Schizosaccharomyces pombe: one gene and its partner. Changing the gene in region 1 together with any one later gene gives a genetic interaction. Each region holds a gene or a part of one and is shown in the gene's direction. Other genes may lie near its edges.

Evidence for each region. A genetic interaction does not mean that the proteins touch.
Region 2: mutations in trm1 (region 1) and sla1 are lethal when combined (synthetic lethality), as found in Schizosaccharomyces pombe (one study listed by BioGRID).

Annotation. Positions count from the first base shown.
Region 1 is NC_003423.3:3,717,454-3,725,638, forward strand, and holds trm1 (mitochondrial tRNA (guanine-N2-)-methyltransferase Trm1.1), read left to right. Parts: upstream 1-5,929; coding exon 5,930-7,576; 3' UTR 7,577-7,685; downstream 7,686-8,185. Other genes in the region: MCM complex subunit Mcm7, read right to left, coding at 185-2,467; ribonucleotide reductase small subunit Suc22, read left to right, coding at 4,302-5,477; mrh5 (RNA helicase), read left to right, coding at 7,917-8,185. UniProt on the Schizosaccharomyces pombe protein: Dimethylates a single guanine residue at position 26 of nuclear- and mitochondrial-encoded tRNAs using S-adenosyl-L-methionine as donor of the methyl groups.
Region 2 is NC_003424.3:1,381,908-1,385,896, reverse strand, and holds sla1 (La-motif domain-containing protein), read left to right. Parts: upstream 1-2,348; 5' UTR 2,349-2,383; coding exon 2,384-2,597; exon of another isoform or gene 2,598-2,672; coding exon 2,673-3,355; 3' UTR 3,356-3,489; downstream 3,490-3,989. Other genes in the region: mitochondrial dihydroorotate dehydrogenase Ura3, read left to right, coding at 1-387; disulfide relay system thiol oxidase subunit Mia40, read left to right, coding at 811-1,105, 1,174-1,820.

The DNA of each region.
Region 1 (8,185 bases):
ATTTGAATACAAGTAAATAAACTATCATAGATTAAAAGAACGACAGATGTATTAGTCAGAATTAAAGAATATTCAACAGAAAAGTAGTTTGACGTCTCAGAATAATTTCTATAGGTTGTAAATTAGCTTAAAGCAATTAATTGGCAGAAAAATTAAATGATAGGAGTTATCTATTAGTAAATTGTTAATTCTCCATATGTAAATCCGGATCGAGGAACATTATTGTTTGACCATTGTTTGTAGTTAAAAGAACACCAAGGTCTGTATATTCCTGTATTGTATTTATTAAATGATCTTCAGTAAAACCCTTAGCAAGTACGCGTTCACGAATAGCACGTAGTGTAAGTGAGCGTTCATTGCCTTCAACATCTGGTATGCTATTAAGCATGTCTCGAATAATTTTATATATTTTCGAGGTAATAGTAGTATCGTGAGAACTAGGATCCAAATCATCGTATAGTGATGACTTTGAAACAGACATTAATCTCAAAGCTTCATCAACATCGCCAATCTCCACTCTATTACTGAAACGCAAACGAGCTAATGCTTGTCCCATTCGCAAAATAGCGAGAAGTGTACGTGGAGTAGTGTGAGCGAATTGACGCTCATTGGCTTCATCACGCTTTTGGTTTTGTCGAAGTTGAACATAAGCACCAGTAACATAGTCGCATACATCCTTTGGTACGACTGGGCGATATTGTCTAGCAGAAGAAATATAATGCCTAATCATGTTTGGATCTAATGGTTCAAAGTCCATTTTAGGTTGTTCGTTATGCATGTGAACATATGTTACGTGTTGTGCCAAATGCTCGTCTGTTTCACGAGAAGGAGTATCTAAAATTAAAAATAAAATATCAAACCGGGAAAGCAGTGCAGCTGGAAGATTTATATTGTGGATTGGTGCCACTTTCGGATTATATCGTCCATATAAGGGGTTCGCAGCGGCCAAAATACTTGTTCGAGCATTTAAAGTCGTAGTGATTCCTGCCTTTGAAATTGAAATAGTTTGCTGTTCCATTACTTCATGAATTGCTGTACGGTCACTTTCATCCATCTTATCAAATTCGTCAATGCAGCAAATACCGTTGTCAGCAAGTACTAAGGCACCTCCCTCTAAAACCATTTCATCCGTCACTGGATCACGCATTACAGCAGCAGTTAAACCAACACCTGAAGATCCACGACCTGTGGTGTATACTCCTCTCGGGGCAACCTTCGAAATATACTTTAATAATTGAGATTTTGCGACACCAGGATCACCAGTTAAACAAATATTTATGTCACCACGAATTCTCATTCCATCCCCTAACTCTTTAGTAACACCTCCGACAAGCAACAGAAGTAAAGCTTTTTTAACATCTTCATGTCCATATATCTCGGGAGCAATGGACTTGGCCAGTTTTTCGTACACATTGCCTCCTTGATTTAATTCAGCGATAGCAGCCTCCGATTGAGGAGTTTTTTCAATATTTGTGTAATTTTTAATGATTTGTGAAACATAATGGCATTCTAAGTAAGTATCGGTTAAGAGCCCGGCGCGCATTGCTCGAAAACCAGTATACGGAGTCGGCAAAAATATACCAGAAATATCAACGATATCGCCAGGATTTACAGAGCGAGTGATAGCACCATATAAGTGGACGGTTAATGATCTAGGGATATGGCCAATAGGTACTTGGTTCGTTAATTCTTGTATTTTTACTTCCTGAAAAGGAAGAAATTTACTGGCTCTTGTGCTCATGAAAAGCTGACCTTTTGCATCATTCTTTTTACATTCATCCGAAGGACATTCAGACATTGGAAGGAATGTCTTCTGACGGATTTCTTGAAACACTTCATACCCACATCGATCACATGTATAAGCATTTACAGTTAAGCTAGGCTTAACATCACTTGTACGAGTAACTATACCACGGACAGTCAAAAGAGATCCCAAGTTTTCGCCTCTTAAATCACGAACGCTGAATGGTTTTTTGTTGCGAGTTACTGGTCGAAAGTATAAGTCATAACCTCGGGTTAATTCAGGAGGAAATCCTTTATGCTCAGGGTCTATATTTTCATTCCTTTGAACACGTTGCTGCATAATTACATCAAGTACTTCGTTGCGATAATTAATTTCCACAGTAGGAGGAGGCATCAACGCATCTGCGCACTGCGAAAAAAGTTCAACAAACCGTTTAGCATTAGATTCAATATTATGCAAAAGCTGAGTATCACTTGGATCGAACTCGTACAAATCATTCAAATCAACATTAATAACATTTGACTCTCGATTGGAGATTTTTTGTAGTATATCCATATACTTTGATTTTAAAAAAGGCTCATCACCTGCATCCGACATCGAAATATCCTGATTTTGTTGTCCATCTTGAACCTGTTCCTGCTTGAAGTGGGATAGAAAATCCGTAATTTTATGTTGACATTCTTCATACTCTGGGATTTTTAAATCTATGGTGGGAAGTGCCATGCTTTTCAAACCAAAAAAGTATCCCAAAACTTTTCTGCTGAATTAGCAAAAAATATAAAGGTTCAAAAAGAAAGCAAGGGTATTAAGTAAGGGTAAGATACCAAGAAAGGTTCTTCTTTAGGTTGTTTTAGTTAGTTGGTAGTATGAATCAACGCGAACTCGTAAGGTAACAAAAATGTAAATATTGTAACTTAGGGCATATACAAATTGTCATTGACTCTAAAGAAATTGCAGTGTATAATTTTTTTGATTCTCTACATATTTCCTTTTTAATTTATTACTCTCGCAGCAAAAGTAAACATTCAGTTTGATTTTAAAAGCCACTATGTAGTACTGTTAGAAATTTTTTTTGGAGAGTATTCACTATGTATAAATAAACAGTTTATTTGTTTTAAATTAATAATAATCATTTTGCCAGACAATAAATTGGTCATTTTATTTTCATAAATGTATGTCTAATTGTTTTCATTGCTTCAATCGATTGTTATTTTAGCTATCCATAATTTTTCCTATTTTTCTTCTACACGTTTTGTATTTCTAAACATGAGAGTTATTTAGACTACTGCCTAAAATTTATTTCACTTTTATTTTTAAAAATTTTTTTGAAAACTTATGAAGTAAGTTAGCAGGGAAATTCTCAAAAGAAATGCGATATCAACAATATAAAAACTTCGAGTAGGGAACTTTTTATTTTTTGTTCGGTTATTTCAAACATCAGTGAAGAATGAATATAGAAAATTCTTTATTGTTTTATACCACATTGTAAACTGTACCTAAAAGCACAACACGCAATAGAAACGTGCTATTGGAATGCTTATTTATTTTCTGTTTACAATAGACGAATATAAGTATTTCTTTTTTTTTTTACGAAAGGATCAAGGTATTAAAATTATTCACAGTATGTGGCTAGGTCTCTGTCGCGCTTATCTTTTTTTAATTAAGCAATGTCTTTATGTACGGTCGCGTCGCATTAGAAGTTTCGTGATTTGTAATATTTGAGCAGTTATAAAGCGCTCTACATCTCGGATGAAAAGGAGATTGTGAAGAGATATTTATTTCTAACATCATATCGTACTACTAGGCTGATATCATTGCGTTTCATCTACAACATAAATTGAGGTACCCTGACGCGTCTTAAGTATTACACTGAAAACTACTTTATTAAATTATAACAAAAAGTGAGAAATTTAATAATTTATTTATTACATAAAGTAATAAATTCATTTCTATTTTTTCAATTATTTGAGCCTAAATAATTGAATTTATTCGACTCCACGCTTAGCATCGAATTCTTCGATTTAAGCTATCACATTTTTCTATTAACTAGCTACAATTTCCTGCTTTAAGAAACCGTTATTATAACACACCAGAAGGGAAAGGAAGTAAGCCCTTGCTTTTCCCATTTAATTTGAGATTGTCTTCGAATTTATTTCATTTTTTTTACTCGTTGCGTTTGTCTCCAAATATTAATTAGTACATTGTTTTTTTTCAACGTTATTCATCTCCATCAGCCTTTGACTTAGTTTAACTGCAATTTTCCACTCTGTAAAATAAGGCAGCATTTTGTCTATTTTGCCTTCACTCTTATTCATTGTGTTATCATACCCAAAGTGCGACAAATTAACATCCACAAAAAAAACGGTGGTGTTGAATATACTACAATACTGTGCACTACATTGGATAACCTACCTTTGAAAGTTTTGCCATTAACCACAACACATCTTGGGAAGCCACATCGCAAGAGATAATCGCGGTGGAAGAAAACTTTTGTACTTATTCTATATACAGATAAATCCGGTCAGTTTGGACGAAATCTCATTATTAATCTTACAAAATGGGCCTTGAGCATCTCGAAGAATTCAGTTATCCTAAGGAACATGGTGAAGAAGTCGAGTATGATAGCGAACAAGGTGTTCGTAAAATTTATGTTAAATCTATTAAAGAAACCTTTAACTTTGATAATGTAAGTGAAGAAGAGAAACAGGAAGGAGGCGACTACTACTTGGGCAAAAAGGAAGATGAGCTTGATGAAGTTGTGCTTCGCCCTAATCCTCACCGCTTTGTTTTGTTTCCAATTAAGTATCACGAAATTTGGCAATTCTACAAGAAGGCTGAAGCATCTTTTTGGACTGCTGAGGAAATTGATCTTTCGAAAGACTTGGTTGATTGGGATAACAAGTTAAATGCTGATGAACGTTACTTTATTTCCACTGTACTCGCCTATTTCGCTGCGTCAGATGGTATTGTTAATGAGAATCTTCTCGAGCGTTTCAGCTCTGAAGTTCAGATCCCTGAAGCTCGTTGTGTTTATGGTTTCCAAATTATGATTGAAAATATTCACTCTGAGACCTACTCACTTTTGCTTGATACATACATTCGTGAACCTAAGGAAAAACAGCGTCATTTCGATGCTATTTTAACAATGGGTTCTATTAAGGCCAAAGCCAAGTGGGCTCTTCGTTGGATTAATGATGAAGATTCCACCTATGCAATTCGTTTGGTTGCCTTTGCTGCTGTAGAAGGTATCTTCTTTTCTGGATCGTTTGCCTCTATTTTTTGGCTTAAGAAACGTGGACTTATGCCTGGTCTTACTTTTTCCAATGAATTGATTTGTCGTGATGAGGGTCTTCACACCGACTTTGCCTGTTTGATGTTTAGTCATTTGAAGCACAGACCAGGCCGCAAGGTTGTTGAAGCCATTATTGTTGAAGCTGTTGATATTGAGAAAGAATACTTCACGGACGCTCTTCCCGTTAGTCTGCTTGGTATGAATAAGGATTTGATGTGTCAGTATATTGAATTTGTTGCTGATCGTTTGTTGGTTGCTTTGGGCAATGACAAGTACTATAACGTAACCAATCCTTTCGATTTCATGGAGAATATCTCTTTAGCAGGAAAAACAAATTTCTTTGAAAAGAAAGTTTCTGACTACCAAATTGCTGGCGTTATGTCGGGTACCAAGCGCGCTGAGAAGGATGATCATACATTTACAATCGATGAGGACTTTTAGATGACTAGTTATTTTTGGTTTTTAGATAAGTTAAAGCAAAAAAAAAATATTATTGATTACTGATAACCTATTTAGCAATAATAAATTAATATGTTTAATTAGATTTTCGTTACTCTATACTTTACAAATCTAAATGGCTACTTCAGTGAATGTAATGACGAAGTTCTAATTTCTGAAGTATTTCTATTCAAGTTCTTTTCTCTTTTTCATTAATTTACTACGTCTAAGAAAAGTTATTTTCCAGTCATAGACTAAAAGACCATTTACTTATTATCCTTATTGTCAATTACCTAAACCTACAAGATTACATGTATTATACAATACTTTGTAATTCGATTTATGGTTGACTTATCACATCTCGTATTTTTTTAATGAATTACTGCAAATTTACTCTCAAAAATAATCAATACTTTCTTTTTTTTTAACGATTATTTTTCTTTAATTCGTATTAAATGTATGAAGCCAATATGCTAAGATTAAGTCAAAGGATCTCAAATGCTGTGAATCACTTCTCAACCGCCATGATGTCGGGGGCTTCTGCAAGTTTGACCGAGGGTAGTGCAATTATACCATTTTCAAATCCGAATGAAGTCTTTTATAACCCCGTACAACAATTTAATAGAGATTTAAGCGTTACAGCTATTCGTGCTTGGTCGGAAACTAGATCCAAAAAAATTGTTGCAAAATCTCATCACCGGCATCAGCTTCTCGATCAAAACTCCGAACTTAGCCAAGAAAATCTTACTAAATGTGATACAACTCATGATTTTGAAAAAAACTGTTCGGAAAAGACAGATTCTACTTCAGCTGATAATATTGCTGGATTTACCATTTTAGAAGCACTTTCCGCTACTGGATTGCGTTCCATTCGGTATGCTAAGGAGTTGCCAAATGTCAAAAGGATACTTGCAAATGATTTATTAGAAAATGCTGTGAAAACCATCGAGAAGAATGTTAATTACAATAATGTGAGCGATATAGTAATTCCTAATAAAGGAGACGCTAATGCTGTTATGCATATGAACAAATTTCATTACGATGTGATTGACCTTGATCCTTATGGATCTGCTGCCCCGTTTCTGGATGCTGCTGTACAATCCGTTTCAAAGGACGGTCTTCTATGCATCACATGTACTGATTCAGCTGTTCTAGCCGGTAATGCATATCCAGAGAAATGCTTTTCTAATTATGGTGGGTCCTCTTTGCGCTCTAATTTTTGTCATGAGCAGGCTGTTCGTCATTTGCTTTATGCTATTGCAGCTTCTGCTGCAAAATATGGTCGCGCTATCAAGCCGCTACTTTCCCTAAGTATTGATTTTTACTTTCGCGTATTTGTTCAAATTAAAGCAAAGCCTGTTCTCGTAAAAAATTTACAAAGTCAATCGCTATTGATATACCATTGTTCAGGCTGCGGTAGCTTTGCCGAGCAACCACTTGGAAAAACTTCTCCGGGAAGACTACCTGGAACCACCAAATTCTCTAATGCTTCGGGGCCTCCTGTATCTGCTAACTGTGAACATTGTGGATATGTGCATCATGTTGGAGGCCCTTTATGGGGTGGACCCCTACATGATGCAGAATTTCTCAAAAAAATGCGCGCCATTGCAGAAGATTTAGACCCTGAAGTCTATGGCACTAAACGAAGAATCTTAGGTATGCTCGCTTTGGCTGATGAAGAACTACCAGATGTTCCATTTTATTTTGTTTTATCCCAAATTTGTAGCGTCTTGCGCTCCCAATCTCCTCCTCAAAATATATTTGTTTCAGCTTTGTTAAACGCTGGATATCGGGTTTCTGGTTCTCATGCCAAGAGTAATGCAATTAAAACAAATGCTCCCTGGTCCTTCGTTTGGGATGTTTTGCGCTCTTGGATTAAAGATCATCCAGTGAAGCTTGAAAATATTAGTAAAACATCTGCTGGAGCAGCGATTTTGGAAAAAACTCCCACAGCTGAGGTTGATTTTACATTCAGGCCCGATTCCGAGTTTGCATCCAAAAAAGAAGGTTATACTCGATATCAAATGAACCCAACTGAAAATTGGGGCCCAAAAAGTAAACCTGGTAAAAGAACTATCGCTGAAGTTGACTCAAAATCTTAGGTAAAGTGGAGCACAGTTTAAATACTCCTTGTATTTTAGGTTTTTGGATAGTACATACAATTTCATTCTTTATGTTATTTCGGAAGGTTTATGCAAATTATAAACAGGCTAGTACAAAAAAGATTTAGTTTGTGTATTCCATACTAAATACTTGTTTAAACTAATAGTATCCGCAACACAATTAGCAATGTTAAAATGATTTATTGTTTAACCGTATTCTTCTTTTTTACATAATTATTTAAAGAAGGTGCAAATATTTTCTTAATTCTTTTGCTTCAACAATTTTTGGTATTGTTACTTTCGTTGGTGGGGTACTAACTCGTCCAACAACAGTTTGCTCATGAAATGTTGTCCTGCCTCGATATTGGATCGTTTTAATGCAATAAAAGTTATAAATGTGATGGGATTGCGTCTAAACGGACGAAGTGTTCCTTGGTTGCTTCAGACACGAAAATTTATCAATATCACTAGTCCAAGATACACAGCTGGCAGGCCTGTTATTTTGAATGAAAATCAACTAATTAGATACTTACCAAATTACACAAATAAAGGAGATGAAGAGGTAACCCGAAGGAAGAAATTGCATGAACCCAATGGACCAAAATTTCA
Region 2 (3,989 bases), on another chromosome or scaffold:
CTCACGGACATTGCCGATGTCCTCAAAAAGTGCAAGATTGACGGTGTGATCGTTGGTAATACTACCGTTCAACGCCCTAAGACCCTCAAATCAACTAGCCATGTTGAAGAGACGGGTGGTCTTTCTGGACCTCCTCTCAAACCTATCGCATTAAATACTCTTCGCACACTTCGTAAGCATCTTTCTTCCGATATTCCCATCATCGGCTGTGGTGGTATTTCTTCTGGCAAAGATGCTATTGAGTATGCTCGTGCTGGTGCAACTATGGTTCAAGTTTATACTGCTTTGGGATATGATGGTCCTGTAATTGCTCACAAGATTAAGCAAGAGATTCTTGCCGAGCTTAAGGGCAAACGTTGGGTTGACATAATTGGCAAGGAAGAATAGATTGGGATGTCAGTATATTTCTTTTAAAGAAAAAATTCAGTGTCGTTTACTGGTACATTATTATAGTAAAAATTTAACATATTATAGAAAATAATACTCACGTTCTTCTAATTAAATATTATAAATGAATTACCTTTTGTTTTGCATACCTAAGTTTGCTTGTGAAACTATTATGTCGCTAGTTTAATTCTATTATGAAATTAGTCATTCAGGCATTTCTTAGTAATCTCGTAAATCCTGCCAGTCTTGCTTGTCTTACATTTGTGAATACCTATTTACTTAAATCTGATTTAAAAAACATGCAAACTTATATAAACTTAGAATGAATGACAAAGTTACGTTCTTGTAAGATCGTCGCCGCTTTCTGACCATTACGCAGACATTAGAAGTTCAGAGCTCAACTTCCCATAAATCAAAAAAACCATGTTTGCTAAAAACTTACTTTTCAGATTTCCAAAATGTATAAGGATTAACGGTTACAATAATATGAGAAGGTCTCTACTGCAGAGAAATGGATTTCAAGCAGGCATTTGTCGAAAATTTGGTACTGCAACCAAAACTGATGTATGGAAAGGCCGTTTTTTGCCTATTGTATCTGGCGTTGCAGCTGCTTCTTTGACTGCTGGATATTTACTTGGAAAAAACACTTCAAATGCATCATCGAGTCAAGATAATGACCATCCTGTTGTAGGCGAACATGTCCATACGGAAACACAATGTAAGTATCATATGTTTGAAATGGCTATCTTTTTCTGTACGATTATATGAATTTAACTAACAATATAGCGTATAATGAACCATATATGCAGCGACACCGAATTGAAGATGCCATTGAGAAGAAAATGACAAGTGAAACACAACCTTCGACTGACGAGAAAGGCCGCAAGGTCAGCGCTACTGAGAATAGTGCACCGAAGAAAACTGATAAGGAAAAATCCAGCGGGGAGACAGCTGGAAATATACTTCGAGAACAAATAGCCACTGGTAAAGATGATGATGAATATGCTAGGAAATTTGAGGAAGTGGAGGAGGAGAGCAGCGAGGAGTCAGCATTTAATCCGGATACTGGAGAGATTAACTGGGATTGTCCCTGTCTTGGAGGTATGGCTCATGGTCCATGTGGAGAAGAATTCAAAGCAGCTTTTAGTTGCTTCGTTTATTCCAAGAGTGAACCAAAAGGTATGGAATGTCTTGACAAATTTCAAGCTATGCAGGCTTGTTTTCAAAAACACCCCGAAATTTATCAAGATATGGTAGGGGAGTCTGAAGAGGAAGACGCCGAAACTAATGAGAAACCATCGACTACATCTGACGAAAATAATCAACCACAATCTCCACCCTCCGATAATGCATCTAATCCTGAAGAAGACGTTATGAACATGGAGAAAGAAATTGTTAATCTTACACCTATGTCAGTTATAAAGGAAATTTAAAATTTTCGAGGCGCTCCGTTTACTATTTAAAATCCTTCAACAATATGAAATTGAAATTATTCAATTAAAGCATTTGATAGTGATCTCGTAACGAACATATAATGACTCCAACAAATGGAGTAAGTTTAAAGTATTAATGTCTTACATCGGTTTTAATAGTTAGCGGTTCTACAATAAAGTGGATATTAAATGATAATTCGAATGGGGAATCTTGATATTATAGGTTATATTGCAATTGTCGGTAAAGAATCATAAATAGGAAAACTAAAAGCTACTGCTTGTCATTATGGTTAAATTGTATCCAGAGCTACATTGTAAGGAGCAATCTCTGTTAATCTTTTCAAAAAAAAAAACAATGGAAATTCATGGGATTATTCTATCTATTATAAATCTATTATGAATAAACTACTTCTTTTTTAAGTGCCAACTTTTAACATTGTCTTCATGAGTAGGAAAATAATGTCAGTTCGATAATAGGGTAGGGTTAGAAATGCTTCTAGGAGAGGAATCCAACTTCTTATGAAATTTGCCCTTTGCCTGTCTCTCTACGAATAATTAACATCATGTCAACTGAAGAACAGAAGGAAGAAATTAAGGACATCTCATCTAAGCAGGAGAATTCTTCAGAGGTTCCCAAGGCCGAGGAAGCTGGAAAAGTAGTAGAAAGTCAAAAAGATACTACTAGTGAAGAAAAAAAGGAGGAAACTACTGAAAAGAAGGAAGATGATGGAAAAAAAGATTTATCTTTTGATGAAGCTGAAGTTTTAAAGCAAGTTGGTATGTTACACACTTTGTTTACGTTGGATTAAAACCTTTTTTGTGTTGAGTGGTCGTTACTAACAGTATGAATAGAATTTTATTTTTCGGACACCAACTTACCCCATGATAAATTTTTATGGACTACTTCTCAAAAAAATGATGGATGGGTTCCCATTCAAACAATTGCTAATTTCAAACGTATGCGTCGTTTTCAGCCTTTGGAAGCCATTGTAAATGCTCTTCGCAAGAGTCCTGAACTTCTTGAAGTCGATGAAGCTGGCGAAAAAGTACGTCGTATGATTCCTCTAGTTCGTGTAGACAACAAGAGCGTCATGGAAAGAAGTGTCTACTGCAAAGGTTTCGGTGATGAAAAAGATGACACTCAAATTGCTTTGGAAAAATTCTTTGAAGAAAATGCTGGTCCCATTAGTGCTGTCCGTATGAGAAGGGATGACGATAAAAAATTTAAGGGAAGCGTATTTGTTGAATTCAAGGAACCCGATGTTGCTAATAAATTTCTTGAGAAAGTCAAAACTGCACCTTTGAAATGGGGCGAGGACGAGCTCACTATAATGAGCAAAAAGGAGTATGTTGACATGAAAGCTGAATTACATAAAAACGATCCACCAAAGTTTAGCAGCAAACGCAGACGTTTTGACGCTTTTAAAGAGATGGATCGTCAGCGTCCTGGTAAATATAGTAACAGAGGAAGAAAATTTAAGAAGCAAAGGTCATCTAACGCTTCTGAAGAGAAGCCTTCGGCCGCTTCGGAGTAAAATGGATTAATTTTGTTTGTTTGTTTGTTTTACAAATACTTCAAAGACACTGGACAAATAAACTTTTTCGGATTGGTTATATTAGGAATTTTGGATGAATAAATAGTCGTTTCATGCAGTTATTTTGTACAATATGACCTCGTAATTTAATGCTTAAATCGTAACAATATTCGGCTATAAGTTTTGCTATACGAATTTTAAAGGTTTTGAATAATAGCAATAGTTTTTTGCTTCATCACTTATAATGTATCGTACTGAATATTTTAAATTTCACATGAGTTAATATTAAGTCCTATTTCTTTACCAGTACGACCAAGCTTGCATTTCAGAAGTTCTCAGTGGAATTTGCAATGATCAGAATTGACTGAATTAAGAACTTGTATATTTCTGGTGGATATCAACCATACAAGAATCAACTTTAACAGTAAAAATAAAAAAATATCAACCTTAGAACCATGCGTCTTTCACATATTTCCGACTGCACAGTCAACATAGGTTTACAGTTCTCGATTGCTTGACTGGGCTACGCTATCGATCCTACACATCAATATGTTCTTCAGAATACAAAATATAGTGAAGCAAAAATAGTTGACCTTCCTATAGCTTAATTATAACTGAGACATTGCTTAAGCTA